Saccharomyces cerevisiae S288C: one gene and its partner. The protein of the gene in region 1 binds, or shares a complex with, the protein of each later gene. Each region holds a gene or a part of one and is shown in the gene's direction. Other genes may lie near its edges.

Region 1 (7,425 bases):
TCGTAGAGGAAATATCATTGTAAATAAGTTGTTTGATAATAAGGATATTTCTTCTGTGTTCATACATGATATCATGGGAAAGCAAGAAGGACCTAACATCAGAACCAGTCCTTTCCACGATCAAACATCCATAATTACCCAAAATATGGTGCAGGTCTGAATCAGCCCACACATGAGGCTCGCCCATGGATTCGATAAGATCACCGCCTGCCAATAACATGATTTTTACGCCCATTTTTTCACCATCTACAGTCATGATTCCACCTCTCTTGATATTTATTTCATGATTGAAATGGTCCAAGACTTTTGCTGTCCTTGTATAACTTGATTGTAAAGATTCCCAGGCATCAACCATTAACCAAGATGATGTCCGCTCGCATGCTAATTCGCACATGCGGACACGATGATAAGCTGGGGCTAACCCTCGCTTTTGATAGTTATCACTTACTGGAGAAAAATAACCACCAACCACTTCAAAACGCGTTTGCTCATTGATATCATCTAAAGCCATTTCAAACATTCTCAAATGTAGGTATGTTATGGGAGAAAATGATCCACAAGCAACGATGATCAGAGGCAGTTTTTCAGGATCTTGTAACTTTTTCGTCAATCTGTGTACAGGAAATTCGTAATCTTCAATAGTTCTGGCTTGTCTTACAATTGTGTGAGGAACTTCTTCCAAATCAGCAATTTGGCTCTTCAGTACCCCCAAATTCCCAGTCATCGTAACATCCTGTAGAGTAGCGTCAATTCCATTCGATTGCCCTTCACTTTCCTCCTCCGATGATACATCCCGAGATAGTGGCTGGAAGTCACTAGTATTTAATGGAATATGGTCCATTCGGTTGCTTGAGTTGGCGTTTTTTTTCCTTGACGACAGGGTTTTGTAAATGTCGAGATTGAAAGGAGCATCGATCGAAGAATTATAATCAGCTAAAACATATGGAACTATGGGTCCAGATTTTGGTATCGTATGTGTTGGATCTGGCGGTGGTTGTAGTTCTTCATTTGGCTGTGGCGGTTTAAAATCGGGTGCTTTGGTGGGATCCATTACGTAATAAGTGCACTTTTTCTTGCCTTCTCCACTTTAAACTCTCTCTCTCTCTCTACTTAACAGTGGAGGAACAGTGACTAAGGTAGAGTATGATTGTACTATAACTTACAGTCTACTGTCGTCACGCTGGGTCAATTTACATTGTTATTTTTCTTGGAGACGACACCGTCACATATGGACAGCGAGTATGGTAGATGGTATAAGCAAAAAATGGCCAGAAACAGGCGATTATTTGGTAAAACGTAAAGATTGATCAAGACGATAAGTTTGAGAGATTGTGAAGCTAAATAAAATCGTATTGCGAGTATTTTACATTCCATATACGAATAGTACGATATCCATGTGGGGTGCGACTCAGAGACTTTCTATTACCCGTCTTTCAAAAAGAAATGAGATACGTTGATCCTGCTTTTAACAATTTCGAATCGTTTGCGTAATTATATGACTTGCTCCGGTGTATAAATAAATAAAGTACATTCTTGGTACTCCTGAACCTAGCCTGGAGTAACTCGGAATAATACACCATTGACACCAAAAGAATGGGATTAAAGAAATTTTTTAAGATTAAGCCTCCAGAGGAAGCGACACCAGAACAGAACAAGGATACTTTGATGGAACTGGGTATTAGTGTCAAAAACCCTAGCAAGAAAAGAAAAGAGAAATTTGCCGCCTACGGTAAATTTGCAAATGATAAAGCTGAAGATAAGGTATACGCGCCACCAGGTTATGAGCAGTATGCTAGGCCACAGGATGAACTTGAGGATTTGAATGCTTCTCCCTTAGATGCCAATGCTAACGAGGCAACTGCTGGTTCTAATAGAGGTTCAAGTGGCACGCAAGATCTCGGAAATGGAGCAGAATCCAATTCTATGCAAGATCCGTACGCTATCGAAAATGATGATTACCGATATGATGACGATCCTTATGCAAGGTTTCAAGCTAATAAAAGTAATGGGAGAGGTAGCGTCAATGCTGCGCCTTATGGTGATTATGGAGGGGGGTACAATGGCACATCTCTGAATTCATATAATAACGATGGCCCGTATAGTAACCAAAATACTTCAAACAGCTGGGTGAATGCGAATGGCCGTAATAGTTTAAATCATTCAAACAGCACTTTAAACGTAGGGCCTTCGAGGCAAACAAGGCAACCGCCGGTTTCAACGTCGACCAACAGCTTATCGCTTGACCAAAGAAGTCCCTTAGCAAACCCGATGCAAGAAAAGAGAAATCCTTACGCTGATATGAATAGTTATGGCGGGGCGTATGACTCCAATACTAATAGATCTAGCGGTACTCGACAAGGAAGCTCCAAGAATGCAAATCCATACGCCTCTATGGCGAACGACTCATATAGTAATGGAAATTTGAACAGGTCTGCAAATCCATATTCTAGTAGAAGTGTGCGTCAACCGCAATCGCAACAAGCTCCAATGACTTATACGCCCTCTTTTATTGCTTCTGATGAAGCAGCACGCAATAGTGAAGTTGATTTAAATGAAGAACCTAGAACAGGTGAATTTGATTTTGAAGAAGTTTATGCTGACAAGTCTGCAGAAAATAGAGCGGCATTAGATGAGCCTGATTTGAATGCAGTAATGACGAATGAAGATTCAATAGATTTAAATGCGTCCGAAGTTGATCATAGTTCAAGACAGCAGCAGCAGCAACAGTGGTTCATGGATGAGCAGCAACAGCAACAGCAACACTTTAACGCAACAAATAACCAATATGGAGATCAAAGGGGTTACAAAACATTTGAAGAAATACAAAAAGAAGAGGAGGCTCGCCAGCAGCAGGAAGAAGATGAAGCAGTAGATGAAATCAAGCAGGAGATCAAATTTACGAAACAGAGTTCCGTAGCCTCTACTAGAAATACACTAAAAATGGCTCAAGACGCCGAAAGAGCAGGTATGAACACATTGGGTATGCTGGGTCATCAAAGTGAACAATTGAATAACGTAGAAGGAAACTTAGATTTAATGAAGGTGCAAAATAAAGTTGCAGATGAAAAAGTTGCAGAACTAAAAAAATTGAACCGTAGTATATTGGCTGTCCATGTTTCTAATCCGTTTAATTCCAAGAGAAGGAGAAGGGAGAGGGAAGAGCAGCTGAAGAATAGGAAAATTGAAGAAAAATTAATGAGAGAGCAAACAAGTCAACAATTGTCTCAGTCCACTCAAAGAATAGAGGGTGCTATGAACGCAAATAATAACATAAGTGAGGTGCGGGAAAGATATCAGAGGAAGAATGTTCTAGAAAAGGCAAAGAGATATCAGTTTGAGAATGATGAAGAAGATGACGAAATGGAATTGGAAATTGATAGGAATTTGGACCAGATTCAGCAGGTTAGCAACAGATTGAAGAAAATGGCCTTGACCACTGGTAAAGAATTAGACTCTCAGCAAAAACGTCTCAACAACATTGAGGAAAGCACTGATGATCTAGATATCAATCTCCATATGAATACCAACAGGTTGGCAGGTATCAGATAGAATATGCCTGTAAAAACTATGTAATATATCACAAGTAACAACATTTCATCACCATTACTACCATTATGTAGAAATTTATGAGCAAAGACAAATAAGTAAAGAAAAAGACATTGATATAATATAAGAGTATGCTTTCTTCATTTTAATGTTTGGTTGTGAATTGAAAGAATACCATTCGGGCACGCAATAGTTATGAACTTAACCGAGCTCAAATAATTTAAAGATAAAAGATAAAAGATAAAAGATAAAAGACAAAAGAAAATTCATAGCCCATGTTGAAGTATCCCAGCGGGAAATGTTGCTATCCAACAGAAAGTACCAAGCCAGTTTCAAAAAGGTACAGAATTAAGTGATGCTATCCGTCCCACAACTAATTTTCTCCAGCGGAGGAAATATACGCGGAGGGGGGGAGGAAAACCTCTCAGTAAGCAATGAAGGGATAGATAATGGGGGCGCGCCTGCCTAGCTTAGGCTAAGAAACTCCTTCGAAAACAGGGGGCTGCGAGCGCAGAAGCGAACACTTGTCATTTGTATAAAAGGACTATTTATAAGTTTGCTTTTTGTCACTCTCTTGGCCCTAATTACCCATACTATTGTAACAATTGTTGTGTAAACTCAATTATACAAATAAACGAACAATCAACAGTAACAAACCGCTCAAGTGTACAACCAATCAGAAAAAATGACGAGAACAAACAAGTGGACCGAACGTGAAGGAAAGGCTGATCCAAAGTACTTTTCGCACACTGGTAACTACGGTGAATCTCCAAATCACATCAAGAAGCAAGGTTCCGGCAAGGGTAATTGGGGTAAGCCAGGCGATGAGATTGATGACTTAATTGATAATGGTGAAATACCCCCAGTGTTCAAGAAAGATAGAAGAGGCTCAAATTTGCAATCGCATGAACAAAAGTTTGAAAACGTCCAAAAGGAATGAGGGCGTTTTCAAGATAAAAAAAGGTTTTTTGATCTCTGAAGGATAGTGGCCTTCTCCACTGATTTATATGCATCTATAGGTATATACTTGCATGCCTACTTCATGACTTATGTAATACAGTTTTCTTACATCCATTTAATTTACGTTCGAAGAAGTTTTCAACATTTGTTTATATGGACATTCCCTTTTTTTGGTTCCTCGCAATGTAAACCTCCCTTTGCGATTCCACCCTCTTCACAATAAGCTCTTTAGTCAAGTATTCACTGAATTTTCCGGCAGCAGTGAGGACAGCCGTGCCAATATGATACTTCTCGCAGTTATACTGAGACATTGAGGTGGCGTCAGCATCGATAATAACGGCATCAACATATTTACAACTTAAAACGCTCAAGACGCGTTCCTTCATCGTCATAATGGTACTCGAGTAATCGCTTGTGGTAATACCAACAATCAATTTCTTATCGGGGTGAAGATCCATTTTCAGCTTTCTTAACTGATCAATATCCCCCATATGGAATAAGTCAAAATCCCCGTCAACATAAACACAATCTTCTGCATCGAATTTGTATCCACCATTGACCAAGACATTGTCCAAATCCCTCTGAAAGACATAACAATGTTTTGAAACGGCATCTTGGGCGACAGAATAGAAACTCAATTCCTGGGTGGTGGGATAATAATCAGGATGAGTCGGTGGCAAAGATTTTTTCGTCAATATTCTATGTATAATCTCGGTAGTACTTACGCCATATGTTCTTTTAACTACCTTGAAGCGCCCCATCTCTTTCACCAACTTATAGCAGTCTTCTCCATTAGCATCTATGGTGATATCATCACCATGAACAACATATTGGCACTGATATTTATCCATCCAATTGGGATCTGTAACATATGGCGCCGCTTCAACCACTTCCGAACACCACCTATTTGATCTAGTATGCTCATATCTTTCTGAAGAGTTCATTACTGGTGTTCCTTTGTTATGCTGAATATCTTCATCGGTATGCACACCACAGAATAGTTTACCATTTTCTTTTGAAACTGTTCGACGAGCCTGCAAAATGGCTCCCGCATGCCCATGATGTGTGAAATCAAAGCAGCCGTCTATCCAAACTTTATCCGGATCTAAGTTTACCGTCATCCAGTCAGTATATTTCAAGTCCCGATCCTGTAAAGCATTTGTCTCTGGAAAATTGAACAAAGGCTATCAACATCTGCATTCTTGCTTCTTATTTTGGCCGCATGATATCGTGCCACGCGATAACGAAAACAATAGTTCAACAATTAGGCTAAGCTATCGTGGTTGCTGGTATACCATTCTTCAAAAGTTATTAATCTTTTAATACTGGTAATCCATAATCGCGTTCTTTCATCAATCATTATGTTAGCAGCATTCCGGCCTCCTTGAATTTTCGAATGTGCACTACGAGCATGAATGCCTACGCTAGTAACACCAATAGGCCAGGCCACATTGCCGATACTGAGTTTCATATAGGACTGAACGGCTAAATTTATTTCTTTAGGTTGTTGTAAATGATAGAGAACGGTCGCAAGGGAAATAAGTAAATCCGGGGCAAGCTGGTTCCTTCGTAGTTGCAGTAGGAGTGGAAAGAGTGCTTTTTTAGTGTCTAAGAACAGCTCCGGATGATAAGCTTCCAAAGACGCCTTCCAACGAGATAATATTTCGTGAATATATAAATTACATTTCATTGACAAAAGAGGTTTTCCTTCAGTAGAACCAATTTGTGATGGATCAATGATTACAGAGATGGTTTTGTCTTGAGCTATCGCTTCTTGTATCCTTTCTGGCCGATTTTCTAATTTGCTAATGGTGGTCCTAATATCGTCACTCTGATTGTCTGACAGGTTTTCTTCATCTGTACTTTCTTGTTCTACCTGTCGCGGTGTTTCGTCTATGTTTGCGGATTCATGTGGCTGGAATTTCTCAGTGCATGGTGGCTGAACACCTTTAGAGTTGGCCAGCTCTTTCTTCTTCTTAGAAATTTCACCTTTTAAGATACTGGCTAGATCTAGGTCCATTTTATGCTCTTATTACTTGTAGAGGAAAAAACATTGAAGTTCTTTCCATTGGGGCCCTTTCCAAAGGTCGATTCTCTTCTTAACTTTTTCATCTTCCCTTGCGCGAAATGAATAAATTATCAGGCTTGAAATTAGAAGAATAAGACATATGCTGTTGGCTTCAACGCATAACGCAATATTAAGAGTAAAATAGAAGACCAACTTAACACCATGAGCAGTGGTTCAGCAGGGGCACCAGCACTTTCTAATAATTCCACGAACTCTGTCGCGAAGGAGAAATCAGGTAACATTTCCGGTGATGAGTATCTTTCGCAAGAGGAGGAAGTTTTTGACGGTAATGATATTGAGAATAATGAAACCAAAGTTTATGAAGAATCCTTAGATTTGGACTTGGAACGTAGTAATAGACAAGTCTGGTTAGTTAGATTGCCCATGTTTCTAGCAGAGAAATGGAGGGACAGAAACAACTTGCATGGCCAAGAACTGGGTAAAATTAGGATAAACAAGGATGGGAGTAAAATCACACTTCTATTGAATGAAAATGATAACGATTCTATACCGCACGAATATGATTTAGAACTTACAAAGAAAGTAGTAGAAAATGAATATGTTTTCACAGAACAAAATTTAAAGAAATATCAACAACGTAAAAAGGAGTTGGAAGCAGATCCTGAAAAGCAAAGGCAAGCTTACCTGAAGAAGCAAGAACGTGAAGAGGAACTTAAGAAGAAGCAGCAGCAGCAAAAACGTAGAAATAATAGAAAAAAGTTTAATCACAGAGTTATGACAGATAGGGATGGTAGAGATAGATATATACCATATGTGAAGACGATTCCCAAAAAAACCGCCATTGTGGGTACAGTTTGCCACGAATGTCAGGTTATGCCATCAATGAATGA
Region 2 (2,629 bases), on another chromosome or scaffold:
AAGATGTGGGTGAGGGGGATGGAGAAGAAGAGGCTGGCAGCTTTGTTATTGACGGCTTCTTCTTTAGCTTACTTTTCGCGTTTTTAACCTCTAAATACAGAGCCTTATCTCTTTCTAGCTTTTCTTTCAAATTCTCCCGCAAGTCATTGGTTTCATCGAAGGTTTTATAATTTTTCTCAATATATTTCCAGCAATCCATCCAATTGGATAATAATCCCATAATGGACCTCAATTTCGGTATAATCTTGCAGATATGATTATTAAACAATTCCACAACTAAACCAGGTTGAAGGTGGAAAATGGGAGTTCTTGAGGAATTGTTATCGGTACGCGCCGTTTGAGTCCAAAATTTTAAATTCTCCTGCAGTTCGAATAAAGCTGTGACATCATCACATTCTGGAGAGAGCAAAGCCATCAGCTCACAAATTATCAAATCGTAATGGTACACGTTTTCGCTGGATAATCTTGTCTTGATGTCCAAGAAATGTTGTTTATTCGGTAGGAAAATTTGCCTAGAGAAACTGATAATAACACACAAGACAGAAAAAACCCGCAAGTGGAAAGTGTATATCCTGTGTAGAGTCCATTCCCAATGTGGTAGATCCTTCTGTAAATTTGACAGTGAAGTAGGTCTTGTTTCCGAAAATTTCTGCAATTGGTTGTAATATGTCCTTAGAATGGGGAAGATTTTCGAATGAACACAGGAGTTCAGTTTCTCCATCACTTGCCATTGCAATTTGTAAAAGGAATGGGTGGACTTATCCCTTACTGGATCATTAATCAAAACGGCTAAATCTAGAATCAATGTCATTTCAACTGGATTTAACAAGTCTTCAATTATTGAAGTGTCAAATGGAAGTGACCGAGCTTTGTACGCATCCCTTTCCAATAAAATCTGTCTCAACTTGGCATTATAAATTTTTATAGCATTTTGAGCAATGCAAGACAGCGAATTTAAAATCTTCCATTGTAGAGAATTATTGTATATGCACGATTTATAGTGATCTAGGGGTACCTCCTCGGGAAACATCCAGCCCTCTACATCAATAAAATTAGTTGATAATCTCTGCTGCACTTCGCTTAGCTTTATCAGCTGGAATCGACAGAGCAAATGGTACCTCTTAGCCAATACGGGGCTTACATTAAATATAGGACCCTCACAAAGTGATAAGATGAAATTAACGAGGGGAATAATTTTGTAGGACTCGTCATTGTCTCTTTTCTTCTTCAAATGCGGTACCAGAACGTTTAGTAGCCTATTCAGTTCATTCAGCTTGTAAAGAGCGTTCTTATATTGAATGATTTTTATATCATACGAGTCCAACGGAACAGAACCTTTGATTGCCGGAATAGAAGCGCTGGCAGCAGCTTTGGCTAGCAACTTTTTTCTCTTTTGCACATCTACCATGTTGTAATATAAAACTAGTCTAAATCCTCAACCTTCAGCTTCCAATCACTCCTTTTATCATTGTTCATTCGCTAACAAACTTCAAACATATGCCTTTATTATGCGTCTTCCTGCTGTTTCAACCATTGATTGCAGGGTAACAGACATTTTTAAGGGTCTTTCCCACAGCATCTATAAGAAAGATCGTCAAAAGTATTAGTTAAACATTGAAAATTTGCGCCAAAGACATAGCAAGCGCAACGTATTCATTGTCCATGTCGTCATCTACTCCCTTTGACCCTTATGCTCTATCCGAGCACGATGAAGAACGACCCCAGAATGTACAGTCTAAGTCAAGGACTGCGGAACTACAAGCTGTAAGTACAGAAAGCCACAGAGTACCATCTAGGAAATTAACATTATACTAACTTTCTACATCGTTGATACTTATGCGTATACATTCATATACGTTCTTCGTGTTTATTTTTAGGAAATTGATGATACCGTGGGAATAATGAGAGATAACATAAATAAAGTAGCAGAAAGAGGTGAAAGATTAACGTCCATTGAAGATAAAGCCGATAACCTAGCGGTCTCAGCCCAAGGCTTTAAGAGGGGTGCCAATAGGGTCAGAAAAGCCATGTGGTACAAGGATCTAAAAATGAAGATGTGTCTGGCTTTAGTAATCATCATATTGCTTGTTGTAATCATCGTCCCCATTGCTGTTCACTTTAGTCGATAGAAGTTCACTCGCAATGCTATATATATAGGGAGCTTCCATATGTAGTGTAGGATATATGTATATATACATATATACATATATGGGCGTATATTTACTTTGTTCTTATTTTCTGTCTAATTTTATAATTTTACTGACAGTAGCTAAGCCCTCTGTATTGCTGTTCTGTGTTATTGCACTAGTGTCATAACGCAGATGGTTTTTAGCAGAGTCAAATTGGGCAGAAAGCATAATTTCCATCTTCCCTGGCAAAGACAGATTTTCTCTTTTGATCACGTTAGCTAAATAATTCAAGATTTCGTTCGGTACTCCAGCTTCGCCCTTGTTAGCAGGCTTGTATTTCAACAGAATTGCTTGTATTTGGGCTGGATTCAAGGCATACCAGAAATCGAATAGTAACTTGAACTCGTTCAAGTTGCTTATCTTCAACTGTAATATCTTGACAGCCTGAATTATTTGAATCAAATTGGGACGAACGTCTTCAATTCTTGGTTCAAACCAGC

What was found. The genes of interacting proteins can lie anywhere in the genome.
Region 2: the proteins of SEC9 (region 1) and SNC1 are in contact, whole or in part, in a cryo-EM structure (PDB 9CRU), measured with the Saccharomyces cerevisiae proteins. Residues at the interface, in NP_011523.3 of Saccharomyces cerevisiae: Leu465 (codon at 2,986), Gln468 (codon at 2,995), Leu472 (codon at 3,007), Leu479 (codon at 3,028), Met482 (codon at 3,037), Ala489 (codon at 3,058), Leu496 (codon at 3,079), Asp595 (codon at 3,376), Leu598 (codon at 3,385), Asp599 (codon at 3,388), Ile601 (codon at 3,394), Gln602 (codon at 3,397), Ser605 (codon at 3,406), Asn606 (codon at 3,409), Leu608 (codon at 3,415), Lys609 (codon at 3,418), Ala612 (codon at 3,427), Leu613 (codon at 3,430), Thr615 (codon at 3,436), Gly616 (codon at 3,439), Leu619 (codon at 3,448), Asp620 (codon at 3,451), Gln622 (codon at 3,457), Gln623 (codon at 3,460), Leu626 (codon at 3,469), Asn627 (codon at 3,472), Ile629 (codon at 3,478), Glu630 (codon at 3,481), Thr633 (codon at 3,490), Asp634 (codon at 3,493); in NP_009372.1 of Saccharomyces cerevisiae: Arg28 (codon at 1,744), Thr29 (codon at 1,747), Glu31 (codon at 1,753), Leu32 (codon at 1,756), Glu35 (codon at 1,878), Ile36 (codon at 1,881), Asp38 (codon at 1,887), Thr39 (codon at 1,890), Ile42 (codon at 1,899), Met43 (codon at 1,902), Asn46 (codon at 1,911), Lys49 (codon at 1,920), Val50 (codon at 1,923), Glu52 (codon at 1,929), Arg53 (codon at 1,932), Arg56 (codon at 1,941), Leu57 (codon at 1,944), Ser59 (codon at 1,950), Ile60 (codon at 1,953), Lys63 (codon at 1,962), Ala64 (codon at 1,965), Asn66 (codon at 1,971), Leu67 (codon at 1,974), Ser70 (codon at 1,983), Ala71 (codon at 1,986), Gly73 (codon at 1,992), Phe74 (codon at 1,995), Gly77 (codon at 2,004), Ala78 (codon at 2,007), Val81 (codon at 2,016).

Annotation. Positions count from the first base shown.
Region 1 is NC_001139.9:505,171-512,595, reverse strand, and holds SEC9 (Sec9p), read left to right. Parts: upstream 1-1,593; coding exon 1,594-3,549; downstream 3,550-7,425. Other genes in the region: nicotinamide-nucleotide adenylyltransferase NMA2, read right to left, coding at 1-1,051; STF2 (ATPase-stabilizing factor family protein), read left to right, coding at 4,232-4,486; ECT1 (ethanolamine-phosphate cytidylyltransferase), read right to left, coding at 4,656-5,627; mRNA splicing protein PRP18, read right to left, coding at 5,771-6,526; transcription factor IIF subunit TFG2, read left to right, coding at 6,737-7,425. UniProt on the Saccharomyces cerevisiae protein: Component of a SNARE complex that may be the effector of SEC4 function in exocytosis.
Region 2 is NC_001133.9:85,624-88,252, forward strand, and holds SNC1 (SNAP receptor SNC1), read left to right. Parts: upstream 1-1,662; coding exon 1,663-1,764; intron 1,765-1,877; coding exon 1,878-2,129; downstream 2,130-2,629. Other genes in the region: protein phosphatase regulator GIP4, read right to left, coding at 1-1,408; MYO4 (myosin 4), read right to left, coding at 2,232-2,629. UniProt on the Saccharomyces cerevisiae protein: SNC1 and SNC2 are vesicle-targeting proteins essential for normal secretory traffic between the Golgi and the plasma membrane. They may also be involved in vesicle fusion.